2 linked regions of the Caenorhabditis elegans genome follow. The protein of the gene in region 1 interacts with the protein of each later gene in a pairwise test. Each region holds a gene or a part of one and is shown in the gene's direction. Other genes may lie near its edges. The genes, in order: abcf-3 and gcn-1.

The links.
Region 2: the proteins of abcf-3 (region 1) and gcn-1 interact in a two-hybrid assay, tested with the Caenorhabditis elegans proteins (one study listed by BioGRID).

What each region holds. Positions count from the first base shown.
Region 1 is NC_003281.10:6,171,299-6,176,810, forward strand, and holds abcf-3 (ABC transporter domain-containing protein), read left to right. Parts: upstream 1-2,104; 5' UTR 2,105-2,245; intron 2,246-2,298; 5' UTR 2,299-2,327; coding exon 2,328-3,146; intron 3,147-3,285; coding exon 3,286-3,872; intron 3,873-3,921; coding exon 3,922-4,413; intron 4,414-4,513; coding exon 4,514-4,754; 3' UTR 4,755-4,873; downstream 4,874-5,512. Other genes in the region: F42A10.5 (Protein CDV3 homolog), read right to left, coding at 504-635, 737-1,199, 1,250-1,473; F42A10.6 (MD-2-related lipid-recognition domain-containing protein), read right to left, coding at 4,896-4,994, 5,040-5,154, 5,200-5,365, 5,413-5,512.
Region 2 is NC_003281.10:2,150,149-2,155,040, forward strand, and holds the start of gcn-1 (TOG domain-containing protein), read left to right. Parts: upstream 1-1,796; 5' UTR 1,797-1,835; coding exon 1,836-1,895; intron 1,896-2,087; coding exon 2,088-2,291; intron 2,292-4,070; coding exon 4,071-4,892. Other genes in the region: frl-1 (GBD/FH3 domain-containing protein), read left to right, coding at 7-193, 927-1,063.

The sequences.
Region 1 (5,512 bases):
AATTGGGCAAAGAGAATATGATAGAGCACTTGTATAAATAGCACAAGTAGAAAAAGAGCAAAGTGCTCATGGGGAAAACATTTTGAAACTTTCTTTCGTTGAAACCGTAACCGACGACACGCGAAACAGGCGGATTTGAGATTTTTGGCGTGACACCGAAAATAGGAGACGACCTTCGAAATGCATAAGATTTCGAAAAAAGATACCAAAATTCGATTCACGTGAATTCTCAAACCACACCGTCCGCTGTCAACTACCCTATAAATTTCACGGGGTATTGTGGGTCGTTCAAGAATTGGTAGAGCAACAATAAAGAGTGAAGTGCGTTTAAGCACGAAATGATAAGAGAAATTTGGGACATAACAAGTTGATAGGGACGAAATTAATAATGTACTAAATTATGAGAATACTAACCAAAAAAAGGATATTATAGAATAAAGAAAAACAATGAATAAGGAAATGGGAACACAGAAAACAGAAGAATAAGAAAATAGTTGGGCCTATTATTGATTTTTCCTCAAATGTGGAGGAACGTACGATCCAGCCTTGGCAGCTCCCGAAGATGCTGGAGCAGCAGCTGCAGGGGCTGGTGCTGGCTCGTTACGCGCTGGAGCTGGATTGGCGGCGCTCATCATCTGAAACGTTGAATTTAGACATTTTCAAGAATAATAAAAATGATTTTTGATAGTTTTAAAACCTTGAAAACTTAGAGTAATTATTTTTCCTTGACACATACCTTGAGAGCTGCAAGAGCACTATCACGTCCACTTCCAGCAGTTGTCGGATACGATCTTGAAGACCCACTTGAAGATGGGCCCGAACTTCCTGGCCAAGCTCCACCGGATCCAGCTTTTACCCAACCTCCTGGTGATTTGCTCTCCTCTTTCTTATTCTTCTCAATTTTGCTTGCATCCGCTAATGATGGGAAGGCAGCGTCACTACCCATATCCAGATTTGCAGCAGCAGCTCTTGGTCTGTACGGAGCTCCTGGTCTTCTCATTGCAGGTGGCTTGTAAGCGGCAGCCATTGCTTTGTCACTGATCGTCACAGCTTGTTCCGGCTCCTCCGTCGCTTTCTTTTCACTGCTAACTTGTCCCCAAGTCTTTGTCTCATGAACCTCGCGATCTTCTGGTTCTTCGTTATTTACTTGATCTTGTTCACTTTCAAGACCCATATCTTTGATTTTCAGACCATCTAGTCTGCAATAAATGAGATATTTAAATGAAATCGGAGCGAATAATCTACTAACCTTCCTTGACTTTCTCCGTATTCAATCCATTCACTTTCTTCGTTAGGATTCACGGCCTTCTCCTCTTCTACCCGCTTTTCAGAAACATCCTCCGACTCTTGCTCATACTCCTCTTGACGCTTGGCTCTTCGTTCGAGTGCTTGACCGACTTCTTCGATTTTAACGGCGGACTTCTTTTTCTTGTCTTTCTTTTTAGCAAAGAAAGCGCTCAAATCGTCACTCATTTTGTGTTGTTGTGAAAAGCGAGTCGGAACTGAAACGTGGAACATTTAGAGAGTAAAATTATTTTGAACGGCCTAAAATGAAACGACAATAGCACAGTTTTCTAATATAGTGAAGTTCAAATAACGAATATGACATGTAAAGTTACTGTGCACAAAGAACAAATGATAGGAAGTGGCAAACTAGCTGGAATTTACTGAAAATGAGAAGAAAACGCGACGCAACACGTCACGCGCGTATCAGAGATTCATTGCAGTTATTTGGCAGAAGGCTGTCTTGACAATAATGAATTTGCTAATTGGAATAGTTTAGGCTTTTGGAGCTTCTAAATATAACTAACAAAAAATGAACAAAACGTGTAAGTTGAAGAGAAATCCAGCTAAAAATTCAGTTTCGCAACAAAAAAAAGTTAGAGACTGCAAACGCGCCAGGACGATTACTGGCGTGTATGGCGATTTTGTTGACGCATATCTCGTTTTATTCAGTTTTCTCTCACATTTACAGTATTTTCGGATGAATAAATTGCTTTTGGTCGAGTTTATAGCAGTTTACATGTATTTATTAAATTAATATTTTAGTCATTTGGATAATGATACAGTTTCCACCACCCAATAAATAAAACCTTACTTTTTTAGGACTCGTAGTGTATGCTAGAGGAATCTCACTTGGTGGACGAGCTAACAGCTTCTTTCATCTCCGATCAAACGTATTATCTTCTTCTGATTCCAAGTCTCATTCCGGTTTTCATCGTCTTTCACTTTTTCAATTGGCTGGGTATGATACGAGAAACGCAACTTATTTACGAGTGTGTTATGAATTTTTTCCAGGTTACGAGTTCTTCTTGAACAATTAAATAATGGCAAATGTTGAAGCAATTCCTGGCTATCTCACGGCCACTTTTCCCACACTTCCAATTGAGATCAAAGACTATGTCTCTGCAATTCTCAAAGAGAATTCCGATGAGATCACATCTTTAGATGAAGTTATGGATGCCGTTGGTGAACATCTTCAAGCTTCCGTGGAAAATCTTTGCGAGGTTGGAGCTAAGAATGCTTGTCAACAACTTCTGAAACTACTTCACGGAGACAACCTTCCAAAGGCTATCAAACAACAGGAAGCAACTACGAAACGTCTCGAGCAAACTGTTGACATGGCTGCTGAAAATCAAAACTTTGAAGCTCTTCAAAGCATCTGGAAAGTACAAACAAGAGATACTCCAACTACCGTTGATAAGAAGAAACTTGCTAAGGCCGAAGATCGTGCTGCAGCGAAAGCAGAAGCTCGTGCAGATGCACCTGTTGAACGGAAGAAGAAGAAGAATGAGCCATCAGCAACGGCTTCCCAAGCTCCAATTCGTGACTCGGGTGCCCGTGGAGCCAACTCAAAGGATATCAAACTGGAAAGTGTGGATATTTCTATCGGTACGAAACAACTTCTCTCATGTGCCGATGTCACAATGGCATTTGGAAGACGATATGGATTGGTTGGAAGAAACGGAATCGGAAAAACGACGCTGCTTAAAATGATTTCAAGCCAACAGTTGAAGATCCCCGCAGGTATTTCAATGCTGTCTGTGGAACAGGAAGTGGAAGGAGATGATACACTCGTTTTGGATGCTGTTTTGATGTCAGATACGAAGAGACAAACACTTCTTGATAGGGAAAAGACGCTGCAAGTGAGATATTCAGAAAATGATATTAATATTCAATGAGAATAATATGACAAAAAAGTCTGATTTGAATTCATTCCATTCTTGAAATATATATTTTTAATTTGAACAAAAATTAATTCATTTTTCAAAATTAAAATTTCAGAGTCGTATAAACAAGGACAATATCAATGACGCCGAGAAAACCAAATGGAATGACGAGCTTTCAAAACTTTACATCGAAATGGAAGCTCTCCAACTTGACAAAGCTCCAGCACGGGCTTCTTCCCTTCTTTATGGTCTCGGTTTCACTCCAGACGAGCAGAAGCGTCCAACAAAGGAGTTCTCTGGAGGATGGCGTATGAGAGTTGCCCTTGCCAGAGCTCTATTCGTGAAGCCAGATCTCTTGTTGCTTGACGAACCGACTAACATGTTGGACATGAGAGCGGTTTACTGGTTGGAAGGACATTTGCAAGGTTGGGAAGGAACTATTTTGACGGTTTCTCACGACCGTAAATTCCTCAACGAAATTTGCACGGACATTGTTCATTTGCACACCAGACGATTGGATCACTACAAGGGTAATTACGATCAATTTGAGAAGACGATGAAGGAAAAGTTGACGCAACAGCAGAGAGAATACGAATCACAACAGCAATTGAGACAGCATACTCAAGAGTTTATTGACAAATTCAGATACAACGCTAAAAGAGCTCCAATGGTTCAATCCAGAATCAAGATGTTGGAAAAATTGTGAGTTTTTATAAAATATTGTCACTAAAAATTTTATTATGATTTTCAGGCCTGTTCTTCTTCCTGTCGAACTCGAATCAGACATTCACTTCAAATTCCCAGAATGCGAAGTTCTCAGTAATCCAGTTCTCCAACTCGATGAAGTATCCTTCCGTTATAACGAAGATTCTCCCTATCTTTTCCGAAAGCTCAATCTCGGAACTCATGCCAACTCCCGGATTTGTATTGTCGGAGAAAACGGAGCCGGTAAAACTACACTGTTGAAACTTTTGCTCGATGATCTCCAACCATCCGTTGGACTTCGAAATGTGAATCGTCGTATTCGAATTGCCTACTTCACACAGCATCACGTTGATCAATTGGATATGGAAACATCAGCTATTGAGGTGTTGATGAAGAATCATCCTGGAAAGACTCAAGAAGATTATCGAGCAGCTTTGGGAAGATTTGGATTAGCTGGTGATATGGCTTTGCAATCTGTTGAGACACTTTCTGGAGGTCAAAAGTCTCGATTGGCATTTGCTAATTTAGCCTTGATGCAGTGAGTTTTGCTTGAAAATAGCAACATTTTCAAAAAATATTCATTTTTTCCTAGAAAAAAAAATTTATTCAAACTCCGTCTAATTCATAGTATTTTTCAGGCCAAACTACTTGATTCTTGACGAGCCTACTAATCACTTGGATGTCGAAACGGTTGAAGCTCTTGGAAAAGCGCTTAATGTTTTCAATGGAGGTGTCGTTTTAGTTTCTCACGACGAGCAACTCATCGAGCTTGTGTGCAAGGAACTTTGGGTTGTGAAGGATCGAATGGTGACAACTTTGGAGGGAGGACTCGAAGAATACAGAAAGCAAGTCTACAAGCAGCTTCAACTCACTGCCTAAATTTTTCCTGTTTTGTTTCGCATTCGGTTGTTTCCCATATTTCACCCAGTTTCCACGTTTTGTTACACTATTTAAGAATTCAATTTATAATTTTTGTTGAGAAAAAAGTTTATTGCTTTATTAAATTGTTCACTTCAAAATTTAAGTATGAGTGAGAGCTCTAGCCTGGAAAATAATGCAAAGGTCTTCCTTGCTCGGGTCATCATGAAGAAGATACTCGAGTTGGTAAGGCTTATCGTTCTGAAATTGGGGGTTTAACTTTCGAAGAATACACATCAAAATAACCTTGAGAAGATTGATGATAGCTGGAGTATCAGAGAAGTCGAGTTCCAAATTGATGACCTTGTTTTTCGGTTCAATTGGGCATGGTACTCCGTTGGTACAAGCATCGATGTTGTTCCTGGAAAAGGTTACTGTAGGTTACTGTAAGAAGCAAAAATCTTACAAAAGTCCAAAAGTTGGTACTGAAGACCATCCACAAGTAGCCATATTCCATGACCAGACCTTGATAGTTTGTTTAAGTCCAGGAGTAGTATAAGTTGAGGATGGATCATTGATGGATGTTGCAATGAGAAGTGGTTCAGTAAGACGGATTGGATATTCACTGTTACCTGGATTCAATTATACATTCGTAGAAACTATCAGAAAACTTGCGAACCACTCTTATCAGTTGGATTAACATTGGTCACCATAACTGGTCCATTTGAGCATTGCCACCAGTTGACCTTTGTCTCTGTAGTATTCGGCCATTGATCGCA
Region 2 (4,892 bases), 4.0 Mb from region 1:
TTTCAGCGTCGCCAGGAGGAAGCTGAACGTCGAGCTCGCGTGGCGAGCACAAAATCATCGGCTTCATCTGAACAGGACCAATTAATGATGGAATTGGCGGAAAAAGTCGGCGGAATGGGAATTGGCAAGCGGCCGCGTGGAAAAATCGATAGTACACGAATGGATCACGGAGATTTCGAGAAGCTGATGAATGGTACGGGTTTTTACCCGGGAAAAAACGGATTTTTTTCGTTTTTCTCAATTTTTGGATCATTTTTCGCCGATTTTTAATGCCAAAATCGGATTCCCCGACACTTTTTACCCATATCTGATGTTTTTTTCGTCGAATTTCGAGCATTTCTGCATTTTGTCGTAGGCTCTGCGGTGTTTGCGTACTTTTGGAACTACCGTACCCCTCGAAATTCAAATTTTGAGCTAAGAACCCGGAAAACAAGTTTTAAGGCGTAAAAATAAGTGGGAAATTCGAATTTGATAATAAAAATTTGAAATTTCGACTGGAACGGTCTGAAATTTTAGTGTTTTGGACGAAAATTCATTTTTCAAAACAAATCACTGATTTTTGGGGTTTTTAATAAAAAATTCGAATTCCCCGCCACTTTTTACCCATATTTGACGTTTTTTTCGTCGAATTTCGAGCATTTCTGCATTTTGTCGTAGGCTCTGCGGTGTTTGCGTACTTTTGGAGCTACCGTACCCCGCGAAATTTAAATTTTGAGCTAAGAGCCCGGAAAACATGTTTTAAAGGGTAAAATTAGGCGGGAAATTCGAATTTGATGATAAAAATTTGAAATTTCGACTAGAAAAGTCTGAAAATTAAAAAAAAATTTCGAAAAAAAAAATTTTTTTTTTTCAAAAAAAAAATTTTTAATTTTAAATTTTTTTTAAAAATTCTTTTTAACATATTTCCAAAATTTCCAAATTTCCAGGTCTCAAACACACGGGCGGCACCACTCCGAATCGCCGAAAAATGTCAAAATCGCCGTCTCCAGCGCCACGTGGCTCCGCACCACCGCCAGTTGCTCCAAAAACTCGAGTCGTCAGTGTTGAAAGGGATCGACAATAAATTTGATCGATTTTCCCATTTATTTTCTCGTGTAAAATATGAAAATTTCTAGTTTTCCCCGTTTTTTCCCATTTTTTCTAACAAAAAATTCAAATTTCCCCCCTTTCCACGTGTGTTACGGGCATTTTTCACACTTTTTCTCTGCATTTTTGCCGTTTTTCCCCTTTTTTTTCCCCCGTGATTATTTGAATTTTTGAATTTTTTCGCTTTTTTGTGCGGAAAATTATTTTTTTTCTACTTTTTTCCTTGGTTTCCCCCCTTAAACCGGTTACAATACGCGATATTATTGTTTTTCTTTTTTTAAAAATGATTTTTTAATGAATAAATTTGATTTGTTTGAAAAATGTTTGAAAAAATTGCAAAAGAAAGTGTTCTGCGTAAAAATAAATTAAAAATAAAGAAAATTCAAAAAAATGGAGAAAATTCGAATTCAAACACCCGCGCAAATGAGGTACGTGATTTTGCGTGCGCGTGTCTGCGGACCGGGCATTTAATCTTACGGCACTTGGTGTTTTCCAACGCTGAAAATGATTTAATTATTTGTTTTAAGCCTAAATTTCTTAATTTTCAGCCGTTTTTCTCGATTTTTTCGATTTATAACCTAAAATTCATGAATTTTCGATCTTTTCAAGCCATAAAATGCTAAAATCCATCACAAAATCGAGTTGAAATCGACTTTTTTAGGCGGAAATTTCAGATTTTCGATTTTCAAGCAATTTCACCCGATTTTCAGATCATTCAACGACGGGTTACACTTTATTGATAGTGGAAAATGTCTGACGATGAAATAAAAAGCGAACATGTTCAGGAGAAGACGGAAAATCTGAGCGAGGTTCGGTTTTGAGGCCTAAAATTCGATTTTCGGCTTGGAAAGGCTTGCAAAAGCTTGAAAAAGCTTAGAAACTTGCATCCAGATGTGAATTTCATTGAAAAATCCAGAAAAATTTCCAAAAAATCGCGAAAAAACGCGAAAAAACAGTGAAAATACCAGAAATGTCCCAAAAACTCTATTTTTTAATTCCAGGAGGACGCATTAAAGGAAGAAATCCGCCGTTTTTCGTCGGCAGTTTCGAATCCAAGCCTTCGGGCTCATGGAATGGCCTACGCCGCTCTGACGAAGCTCATCGAGCGCCGCTCAACGGAAATTCCGGCTCAATTTGTGAAGGGGCTCGTCAAAATGAGCATTGCCAACTCGATTCGGCTCTATGGACAGCCAAAATCCTTTCAGGTAGCGGAAGAAAGCTGGAAAGTGTCGAAAAAACGAAGAAAATTAGCCTAAAATTGGACTTTTTCGTGACAATTGTGCAAAATTTCGCAATTTTTCACCTGAAAATTGCTATTTCTGCAGAAAAATTCTCAAAACTTGCAGATTTTCCTCTATCTTCGTCGAAAAACTCCACATTTTTCACGATTTTCACCTGAAATACTGATAAAATCTCGATTTTTCACAAAATTCCCGGATTTCCATTCAAAAAGTTGGATTTTTCTGGTTATTTACCAGAAAAATCCGAGAAATTGTCAAGTTTTTATCATTTTTAGTTCAAAACCCTGGAAATTTTTACGAAAATTCAAGATTTTTCTCTTTTTTCAACGGAAAAATCAGATAATATAAGATTTTTTTCCCGAAAAAACCCGGATTTTTCACACAATTTCACCTGAAAATCGACGAAAATCCTTTAAAAAATTCTGAATATCCATTCAAAAAGTTGGAATTTTTCGATTTTTTTCCGGAAAAAGTCCGGAAAATTGCAAATTTTTAAGACACAATGCGGAATTTTTTCGAAAAACGGTCTGAAATTCGCATTTTTTCACAATTTTCCCGAAAAATTGGGCTTTTCTTTCAAATTTCAGTAAAAAATTCCGGTTTTTTCGCCCGAAAATCCCCATAAATCCCTGAAATTTCTGGATTTCGATCCAAAAAACCGGAGTTTTCGCTTTTTTTGCCGAAAAATCCGTCAAAATTGTTCAATTCTCCATGAAAATTTCGAATTTTTGGATAAAAATCGGAATTTTTACGAAAAACGCTGGGAAATCTCACAAATTCCACTGGAAAATTGACGAAAATCCTCAAAATTCCCGTGTTTCTATTCAAAAAAGTCCGAATTTTTCGCTTTTTTTGCCGAAAAAGTCCGGTAAATTGCCAATTTTTACGAAAAACAGTCAAAAATTCGCAATTTTTCCGCAAAAATTAAGCTTTTCCATGAAATTTCAGACGAAAATTCCAGATTTTTCGCATTTTTCCACGAAAAATCGACCAAAATCCTCGAAATTTCCGGATTTTCATTCAAAAAGTTGGAATTTTTCAAACTTTTTACAGAAAAAGTCTTGAAAATTGCCAATTTTTACGAAAAACAGTCAAAAATTCGAGATTTTCCTCATTTTTCAACTAAAAAACCCGGATTTCTCACAAATCCCACCGGAAAGTCGGCGAAAATCCTCGAAATTTCTGGATTTCCATTCAAAAAAGTGGAAATTTTTCGCTTTTTTTGCCGAAAAACCCGTCAAAATTTCAAATTGTTTGAATGAAATCGGAATTTTTTTACGAAAAACAGTAAAAATTCGCATTTTTTCACATTTTTCCTCTGAAATTTGAGCTTTTCTATGAAATTTTAACCGAAAATTCCCGATTTTTCGCTTTTTTTTTACCTGAAAATCCCCATAAATTACTGAAATTTCCGATTTTTCACGAAAAATTTGCTGAAAATCGACGAAAATCGTCGAAATTTCTGGATTTCCAATTTAAAAAAGTCGGAATTTTCCAAATTTTTTGAATGTAAATCGGAATTTTCAATAAAAACAGTGAAAATTCGCATTTTTAAACATTTTTTTTCCGGAAAATTACCTGGATTTTTTTCACGAAAACCCGTCGAAAATTCACATTTTCTCTGCGAAAATTGAGCTTTTCCATGAAATTTCAGCCAAAAATTCCAGATTTTTCGGTTTTTTCAACCGAAAATCCTCATAAATCACTGAAATTTCCAATTTTTCAACAAAAATTTCCTTCCAGGCCGTCTCAAAATTGCTCCAAGTGCTCGCCAAACGTGATCCCATCTCCACACTCAAATCACTGCTCCAAACAATCACCACGGCTCTTCCAATCATCCCAAATCTCACGGAATCCCATAGTCTCTCACAAGTTCCAACGATGAAATGGCTTTTGGCCTGTTTGGATGGAAATTCCTGCGCTGAAAATGCTGTGGAAATCTTTGGAGCTCTCGGAGCAATCGCCTATTGGATGTCTGCTAGTGATAAAGCTTGGCGTGTTTTCACAAAGAAGCTGGCTCAGCTTTTCGCGAAAAATCCCGAGATTTCCAATGTTTTCACCGCAAAAATCGGGGAATTTTCAAAGGAAAATCCCGAGAAATCGTTGGCTCTGATCTCGGCTTTTGGTGCTCTTGGAGCCGCGAAAACTCCTGAAATTGCTCCAATTTTCGTCGAAATTTTCACAAAATCCCAGCTTCTCCCAAAGCTCCGACCACCGCAATTTTTCGTCACGAGAATCTCGAAATTCGCGGTTTTTCTCCAAAAATCGCCGGATTTTGAGACGAATTTGCTGCCAAATATGAAAAAAGCACTGCTCCGGAGCCCTGAAGTCGCGATTTTCGGAATCCGTGGGCTCTTGGAGCACATCAGCTTCTCGCTCGACTTTTGTGCTCAGGATTTGCTCAAATCTACGATTTCCTCGCTTTGTAACACGGATCCGGAGATTCGTGAAGCTGGAATCGGGATTGTGGTGGCTTTAAGCCGAAAATCGGAGATTTCAGTGATTCAGAAGATTCTCAACACGCTTCTCGATCAATTTTCGGCTGCAAAAGCCTCGGAAATTAAG